Linked DNA regions of Caenorhabditis elegans. The protein of the gene in region 1 interacts with the protein of each later gene in a pairwise test. Each region holds a gene or a part of one and is shown in the gene's direction. Other genes may lie near its edges.

Evidence for each region. The genes of interacting proteins can lie anywhere in the genome.
Region 2: the proteins of ddx-35 (region 1) and ZK632.12 interact in a two-hybrid assay, tested with the Caenorhabditis elegans proteins (one large-scale study listed by BioGRID).

The regions. Positions count from the first base shown.
Region 1 is NC_003281.10:1,551,409-1,556,241, reverse strand, and holds the start of ddx-35 (putative ATP-dependent RNA helicase DHX35 homolog), read left to right. Parts: upstream 1-1,794; 5' UTR 1,795-1,800; coding exon 1,801-2,043; intron 2,044-2,721; exon of another isoform or gene 2,722-2,819; intron 2,820-3,235; coding exon 3,236-3,406; intron 3,407-3,471; coding exon 3,472-3,635; intron 3,636-4,609; coding exon 4,610-4,833. Other genes in the region: eelo-1 (Early ELOngation arrest), read left to right, coding at 73-413.
Region 2 is NC_003281.10:9,828,956-9,832,950, forward strand, and holds ZK632.12 (uncharacterized protein), read left to right. Parts: upstream 1-1,846; 5' UTR 1,847-1,882; coding exon 1,883-1,898; intron 1,899-1,945; coding exon 1,946-2,338; intron 2,339-2,817; coding exon 2,818-3,026; intron 3,027-3,074; coding exon 3,075-3,215; intron 3,216-3,261; coding exon 3,262-3,303; 3' UTR 3,304-3,468; downstream 3,469-3,995. Other genes in the region: ZK632.11 (uncharacterized protein), read left to right, coding at 7-216, 262-657.

The DNA.
Region 1 (4,833 bases):
GAATTTTCAAGGTTTATAGTGTAAAATTGAATTTCTAACTGAAATTTCTCAAACAAAAATTATAATTTTCAGCTCCAACTCACCAAGGAGCCGCCGAGAGCACCAGAGAGCAGCAGCTCAAAATCCCGCCACCACCGGAGATCGAAGTGAATCCAGCGATTGCAACACGATTTGAGCATGCTTTTCGTCAAAAAGCCCTCGGAACCGATCTAAATCAACAAATTCAAGGCAATCAGCAGTACAATAATCCGATGAGCTACACAACATTCATCGATGCGTTCGAAATTGACGAAAAAGGCACGAATTTCGCGAAAAATATCTTCGATCCGCACGTTTTTCCCGATAATTGCTTTTATGATGCGATCGCCGACGAGCAGAAGAAGATTCAGGAACAATCGGCAAAGAAAAAGTGAAAAAATCGATAATTTTCTCGCATTTTTTATTGTTGAAATTGTGAAATTTTGAAATTTTCCAAAAATGAATGTCAGATTCGTATTCTCCACGTCATCAGCTTTCAAATGACCCACTACATGCCTGGGTTCCGGCGATTTTGAATTTTCGCCGTTTTGACACAGCTGAAATCGGTGCTACAGTAACCCGCGTGGCGAGACCCGAAATTTTCAAAATCGACGAAACCCGGGCATGTTGGGGGTCATTTGAAAGCTGATGACTCGGAGAATTCGAATTCGGCGTTCGTTTTTTGAAATTTTTGAAATTGGAATTTTAAATTATTTTTCTTTGAAATTTTCCCCATTTTTTTAGAATTATTTTTTTAAAATTTGTTTATACCAATCTCGTAAAATCTTTTGAAAATAATAGTCATTCCTCTGCGAATTTCTTGTCCTTTTATTATATGGTAGCTGAAAAATTTGTAAAATTCGAATTTTATTACTTTTTCTACAATTTTTTTTTCAATTCAAAAATTTATTGAAAACCATGTAGAAATTCGATTTCCCGCCATTCTCAGCTCCAATTTGACCCCCATCATGCCCGGGTTCCGGCGATTTTGAGGTTTTTCGTCGTTTCGACACAGCTGAAACCGGTGCTACAGTACCCCGCGTGGCGAGACCCAAAAATTTCAAAATCACCGGAACCTGGGCATGTTGGGGGCCATTTGAAAGCTCTCAGTGAGCTGAGTTCAATGGTGGCAGAGTTTTGGAATTTTAGGCCACGAGAACTGGGGTTTCTAGGCCATTACTCAGAAATCGGAGATTTTGACCTTTTTTTTCGAAATTTGCTCGGAAATTTAGTTTTACCAAATAGTTTTAAATAGTATTTTGTGCGAATTGGTTGTTAAAACTATTTTTTTCAAAAAAAAAACCACTTTTTTGAAATTTTTTGAAAAAGTTAGTCCAAAGTCCAGAAAAACTCAAATTTTCTATAAATTTCTTGAAAATTCTGAAAAATTCGAATTCCCGCTATTCTCAGCTTCAATTTGAACCCCATCATGCCCTATTTCCGGCGATTTTGAGTTTTTTTCGCGTTTCGACACAGCTGAAACCGGTGCTACAGTACCCCGCGTGGCGAGACCCAAAAATTTCAAAATCACCGGAACCTGGGCATGTTGGGGGTTATTTGAAAGCTCTCAGTGAGCTGAATTTATTGGTGCCCGAGTTTTGGAATTCTAGGCCACGTGGATTTGGATTTCTAGGCCATCATTGAAAATGAAAGGGTTTTTGTTCAATTTTGGCGTTTTTTTTCCGAATTTCTTTAGTTTTCCATGAATTAAATAGTTTTTCTCACTTTTTTCAGTGAAAAATCTAAAATTTTCACTGAAAAAACTTGAATTTTCAGCCATAAATGTCCTATCACCCGGGACACGGTCACCGTCAGGAGCCCAGAAAAGGAGCCGGAGCCCGTCGTGGTTTTGCTCGACCGGATGACTCTGCAGACGCTCCACGTACCGGACCACTGATTTTCGAGGAACGATCTACCGAAAACGCGGGAGCAGCTCCGCCGATTGAAGAGCAACTAAAAGTGCACAATAATCCATATGCTTCATTGAATATTCAACAGCAGAGAATTAGATTACCTATTTTTAAGGTGAAGAAAATGTTCTACGGGAAATTCTTTGGCGCCGCGAAATTTGAATTTTTTGTGAAAAAAATTTTGAAAGTTTTTTTTTTTATGAAAAAATTTTTTTCGGAAATTTTTTTTGAAATTTTCAAACATTTGTCCCAGTTTTCTTTTTAGACCAAAAATTTTCACATAGTGCCAGCTAAAAATTTAACAATTTAAAAAAAAAATAAAAAGATTTTTCGAGAAAAAACTGTTTCTATAAAAATCGAAAAAATTCAGATATTGTGCAGTTGTGAGAAAATTAAATTTTGCACAGTTTGAGCTAAAAAATTGAGAAAAATCCTGAAAACTAAAAAAAAAAAATTTTGGAAAATATTTTTTTGAAAAATTCGAAAAAAAAATATCGATTTGTTTAAATTTGAAATTGTTTTTTTTTTTCAAAATGTTACAATAATAATATCAAAAAAGCTCAAATTTATACACTCTACCTACCTACAAACTGTAATTTTCAAAAAAAAAAAAACATTTTCTTCCAAAAAATAAAAATTTCTTTTTCGATTTTTTGAATTAATTTTTTTTCTTTACTATTTAATTTTTCTTAATTCAAGATAAAAAATTTTCAATAATTTTTTGTAGTTTTAACTGAAGCTAAATTTTTAATAAGTTAAATTTTTTCCCAAATTGAAATTTCAGTGACTCATGTGCTTCTACTCGTATTGATGGCATAAAAACTTTATTTATTCACATTTGCAGTCTTAAATTGGGCTGAAAATGTGAATAAATACCGTATTTCTGCCAACAATTTGACAATAGAGCACATTTGTCACTTGGAGATGCGGAAGCTATGCCCAAATTTTCATTTTTTCGGAAAACTTCAAATTTTTAGCATTTTTCCGATGATTTTCGCTAATTTTCAGTATGAAATTCGACTTCTCCATCACTTTTTACCCCCGGAGCCCGGTTTTCAGCCAATTTGAAGAAACTGTCGTAAGGTTCGGTGCCAAGTACGCAAGCCTCGGTGTTTGCGTACTTTTGGGGCTACCGTACCCCTCGAAATTTAAATTTTGAGCTGGAACCCTATTTTTTAGTGGTAAAGTAGATAAAAAGTGTAAAATTATTGAACATCTGCGAAAAATTCAAAAAAAAATTTCCAAAAAAAAAAAAAATTGTTTTTTTCGAAAATTTTTTTTCAAATGAAAATTAATTTTTCATTCAGAATCGCGGTCACATTCTCTACATGTGCGAACGATATCGTACAATAATCATTGTCGGCGAAACAGGATGCGGAAAGAGCACTCAAGTACCCCAATTCCTTCTAGAAGCCGGTTGGGCGGCCGACGGCCGCCAAATCGTCATTACTCAGCCACGAAGGGTGGCCGTGGTTACGGTATGGCTTGGCGGGAAATTCAAATACCTGAAATTTATTGGGTGAAAAATTGAAAAATTTTGCAGTTAGCCACCCGAGTCGCCGAGGAGAAGGACTGTATTTTGGGGCACGACGTTGGGTATACTGTAAGATTTGATGATGTATCGGATAAGGATACTAAAGTCAAATTTATGACTGATGGGCTATTGTTGAGGGAGATCCTTGCAGATCCACTATTATCGAAATATAGGTGATTTTTTGAATTTTTACCCGGAAAATTTTGAAGAAATCCGAAAATCCTCCGCCTAGAAACAATTTTTCAACAGGATTTTCTTGCAGAAAACTGCTAAAACATAGAAAAATTTGATAAAAACTCACATTTTCCCCGAAAAATTACGGAAAAATGTCCCTTGCTCCCCAAAAAATCGATATTTCCCCTGTGACTTTTGTGCTTCTATTCAGATTTTTGGCATAAATACTGTATTTATTCACATTTTCAGTCATAAATTGGGCTAAAAATGTGAATAAATACCGTATTTCTGCCAACAATTTGGCAATAGAGCACATTTGTCACTCGGACATGCGGAAGCTATGCCCAAATTTTCGTTTTTCCCGAAAAACTTGTGATTTTTACAGATTTTCAATACGAAATTCGACTTCTCCATCATTTTTTACCCTCGGAATCCGGTTTTCAGCCAATTTAGACTAACTGTCGTAAGGTTGGGTGCCGAGTACGCAAGACACTCGGTGTTTGCGTACTTTTGGCGCTACCGTACCCCTCGAAATTCAAAAATAGGGTTAGAAGCCCCAAAAAGGTTTTTAGGGGTGAAATTTGACGAGCAATTCGAATTTCAGTCTGAAAATCTTTGAAAACTTCTGGAAAATTCTGAAAAAAAGTTTTTAACAAAAAATTCAGTATTTTCAAATTTCAAATTGTTTTCTATACATTGTCATGCCAAAATTCAAATTCCCCGTAAATTTCCACCCCTGGAACAGCTTTTTCAGCCAATTTGTGCAAAATGTCGTAAAATTCGGTGTTTGCGTACTTTTGGCGCTACCGTACCCCTCGAAATTCAAAATTTGGAATTGAGGCCGGGAAAAATGCTTATTAGGTGTGAAATTAAATGGGAAATCCGAATTTTTACGTGAAAATCTTCAAATTTTCAAAAAATCTCTCAATTTTTCGATTAAAAAAAAATTATTTTTCAAAAAAAAAATTTCCAGCATTATCATGATTGACGAGGCACACGAACGGTCATGTAACACGGATATTTTGCTCGGGTTACTTCGAAAAATCATACAAATTCGCAATGATCTGAGGATTATTGTGTCCTCGGCGACGCTGGACGCCGAGCTTTTTAAGGATTTTTTCGAGATGAATGAGACGGGAAATTCGGATAAAGATACTGCTGGAATTATTTCAGTGGAGGGAAGAACACATCCAGTTG
Region 2 (3,995 bases), 8.3 Mb from region 1:
TTATAGCGTGAAGACTTCAAGATTCCACCAAGAGATGTATTTTGCTCAGTTTATCAAGATGAATTGCTGAAAATATTCAAGAAAAGTGAAAAAGCGGAGAAACGAAGAGCCAAATCAACTCCGAAACATAAAAAGTTCGCTAATGAAGATGATGATGATGTTATAGTAATCACAAGTGATGAAATCAAAATTGACAAGTTCAATACTCCGGGAGAAGTAAATTAAATTAAAATAAAAATTCAATATCAGTTACTTTTCCAGGAAGATTCCATTATAATACTCGACGGCTCTGCTTCAACAGAAGAAAAACACCTTTTGACTCCGATTCGAAAAGATGTAAAACTAGGAGAATCGATGTTTGAATTAATCGGAACTCCAGTGTTTGGTAGCTCTCTTCTTACTCCTGTTGCTCCACTTGAAGCGTTTGCCGTCGGAATTCAACCATTTGAAGCAAGAGAAGAACTTACTGGATGCAAGGGAAACTTCAGAAATCTCATGGACAAATTGAAAGAAATCCGCGAAAATAACTTCGTTCCGGAGCCTGAAGAAGAAGTTATTTTGGTTTCAACGAATGAAATTTCGTCGTCGAATAACTCTGGAACTGCTAAGAACAAAAATAATCAGAACAGGAAAAGAAATAGAAGACATGCTAAATGAATTGGCTTTTTGAAAAATCCTTTTGTTGAATTATTGTTGTTGCTTAAAATTGTTGTTGTTGTTCCATATTTTTACGCAAAACTACCATGATAAAACCTTTTTTCTTGATTTTCCAACCTCTCTCTTGTTGTAAATGGTTCCGAATGTCCACAATCTTCTATTTTGGTCATCAATTATATCTTTATCTCTGCGTTTCTTTCACTCTTGCCGCTTTCCGATGGATTGGTGACACACAGCAAATATCGGTTTTCTCAATTTAAACTAAATTGGTCTAATTGGCTTATGTTTAATCAGATTATTTCGAGAAACCTGTGAATATTAAAAAGATGGTATAGGTTTTGAGGGATTTTTTGCCGAATTTATTTTTTAGAAAGTGATGGAATTTTTTATGATTGCAAATTTTTTTAAAAATTATTTAAAAACGAGCTGAATTATTTTTTGAATTCCCGCGCAAACGAATTCCTAAAGTTTCGACGTTTTCAGGTTATATTATTAAGGTTTTTATTAAATTATTGATTCGAAACATAATTTTGTAAAACTTTCATACATTTTTTCCCGCAAAACAAGTTTACATTATTGATTTGAGGCCAGATTTAGAGTTTCAGAGAAGTTCTTTAGATTAACAAAATAAAATAAAAAGAAACCCCAATTAATATAGCCGGAAAAAGCAAAAAATATCGAAATTGTGTAGATCACTTGCGCGGGAATTCAGAAAAAGTTTAGCCTTTTTAATCATTTTTTTTCCAAAATTGAAAAAAATCATTTAAAACAATGTTCAAATTTTGTAATTTTGTTACAGTTATTTTCGGTAAATATATTGAGATTGTTATTGTTAATTAGAAGGAAAACCTACAAAATCTGCTCCCATACCATGCATAACTATATTTAAGATCCGAAATCTTATTCAAAAAAGTAATAAAATTAATTGAAACCTTTTTTCCAGGCCACCAGTTGTTCTTATCATTCATTCGTGACAATTTATTCATTGCATTCTTTTTCTTTCGTTCAGGCAGCGGTCCACTGGCTTGTCCATCCGATTGTTTGCACATAAAGTGTATGATGACTCATCACATTCCTTTTCCCTCTCTTCTTATTCTGTTCTCACTCAAAATAATTTTTTGTTATGATTTTCAACCTTCTTCGTCTCGAACTAAATTTATGAATTTTTTGAAATATTCAAAGTTTTCAGCGGATTCTTTCCATCGTTTCTAAATCACAAAACACAATGGTTGATCGACTTGGTAAGTTTTATTTATTTTCTTTTATAAAATAATTTATTAAATTTTAGTGAATAGTGAAGTGAATTCCCGTCGAATGGCTAACGTAGAACAATGCTTTGGAAAAATGGGAGAACAATTGTCGGTATTCGGACGAGTTCTTGTCGGAGAAGGTGTTCTTGTGAAAATGTGCCGAAAGAAACCGAAGCAACGGCAATTCTTCTTGTTCAATGATATTCTTGTATATGGAAACATTGTGATTTCGAAAAAGCGATATAATAAGCAAAGAATTCTAAGATTGGAAGGTGTACAAGTAGAAGATCTGGAAGACGATGGAATTGAGAAACATGGATGGATTATTAAGACACCTGCAAAATCGTTTGCAGTTTATGCAGCAACTGAAACTGAAAAACGAGAATGGATGTTGCATATTGAGAGATGCGTTACAGATCTCCTTGAAAGAGGTAATACACGAAAATTATTTTCAAAAAATTTCCACCAAAAAATTGCAGAGAAAGTTTGAAACCACCGTAATCTTTAAAGGCGCTTACCATTTTCCGTTTCAAAAAATCTTGTCGTTTCGAGACCGAAAACCGTATTTTTAATGCAACAATCGCAACATTTTTCGTCTAATTAATATTAAGCTTAAATAAGTCTTAGGCGCATTGTGGTCTTTTTATTTAAAAAAATGTTGGCAGCAATGTTCAATTTAATTTATAAATTGTGATGCAAAATTGGTCCATAGATCGACAAGTTACAGTAATTTGTTGTCCGCCTGGCGAGACCCATGCGCCTAAGATAGGTGAAAAATTCTCATATTTAAATGACCAATAATATACGTTCTACAAAAAAATTGGGAATCACCATATCTCTAAATTAAAACGGTTTTTTAGATAAATTATTTTTTTCTATTAAAAATACAATCAAAATTTTCTACTTTCAGGAAATAAGCAAGCCGCGACTGCTCACGCAGCTGTATGGGTTCCCGATGGTGAAGCAGTGAAGTGTATGGTCTGCGGGAAAACTCAATTCAATCTGGTTCAAAGAAGACATCACTGCAGAAATTGTGGACGTGTCGTGTGTGGCGCCTGCTCATCGAGAACATTCCGTATTGACAATGTACATAAGAAGCCTGTCCGAGTTTGTGATCATGTACGGTGAAGTTTGACACTTTATCGTCTAAATATCATGATTTTTCAGTGCTTTGACAGTCTGAGTAGTGCCACACCAGGACAAGAAGAAAGTGAACCAAAAACGGGAAATCGCTTGCACCATGAGGATTCCTCCTCGGATAGTGAAGACGAGGTCAATGGTAGTGGACGATCGAGTAATGAGAGCCGGGTATACTGAATATTGCCTAATCTTTCAATAAACATACAAATTTCAGCCAACATTCTACCGTGAGGACGTTCAGCAGCCGGCAACATAGTTCAACGCATATAAACTACGATGAAAATTCTAAAATCCACGTCCTCATTCCTACTACTAAATTAATATTATATTTTCTTAAACGTTCCTGTGATATACAGCAATTGTACGTATTTTTTTTTGTTGCTTCCAACGACTTTTACAATTCCTGAAAAAAAGTTATTTCCTTTTTCTTCAATTCAAGATTATTCAGAACTGCACAAAATTAAAACGACCACATGACAGAAGGAATCATTTTAATAATCATGAATTACAGAAATGATCAAATTTCTTGTCCTTACAAGAAACAGCGCAATTAACTGAAGTGTTCAGAGAAACGTATGGTCCATTCGGCTTGGAATCATATAAATGTTCTTAAATTATTAAAAGTAAAATAAATGTTTTATTTACATATGATTAGTGAAATCAGAGCACAAAAGTGTGCAATGAAAAATAAATTTTATTTTCTGGAGTACTGTAAGCGGGCACATGGTGTATTGTACGCAGAGTTCTTCGAGTGTTTGCGTATCCACGTTGTTCTCCACGTGGACAAAACGCGCGGCACGTTTACTTTCTGAAAATTCGTTTTATTTTTGCATTACTGTCTTCTTAAAAGCTGAAAATGGCTGCAAACGAAGTGTAAATTTCATAAATTCCTAAGCTTTTATTCATATATATATATATATATATATTTCATCATGTCCTATTTTTGCA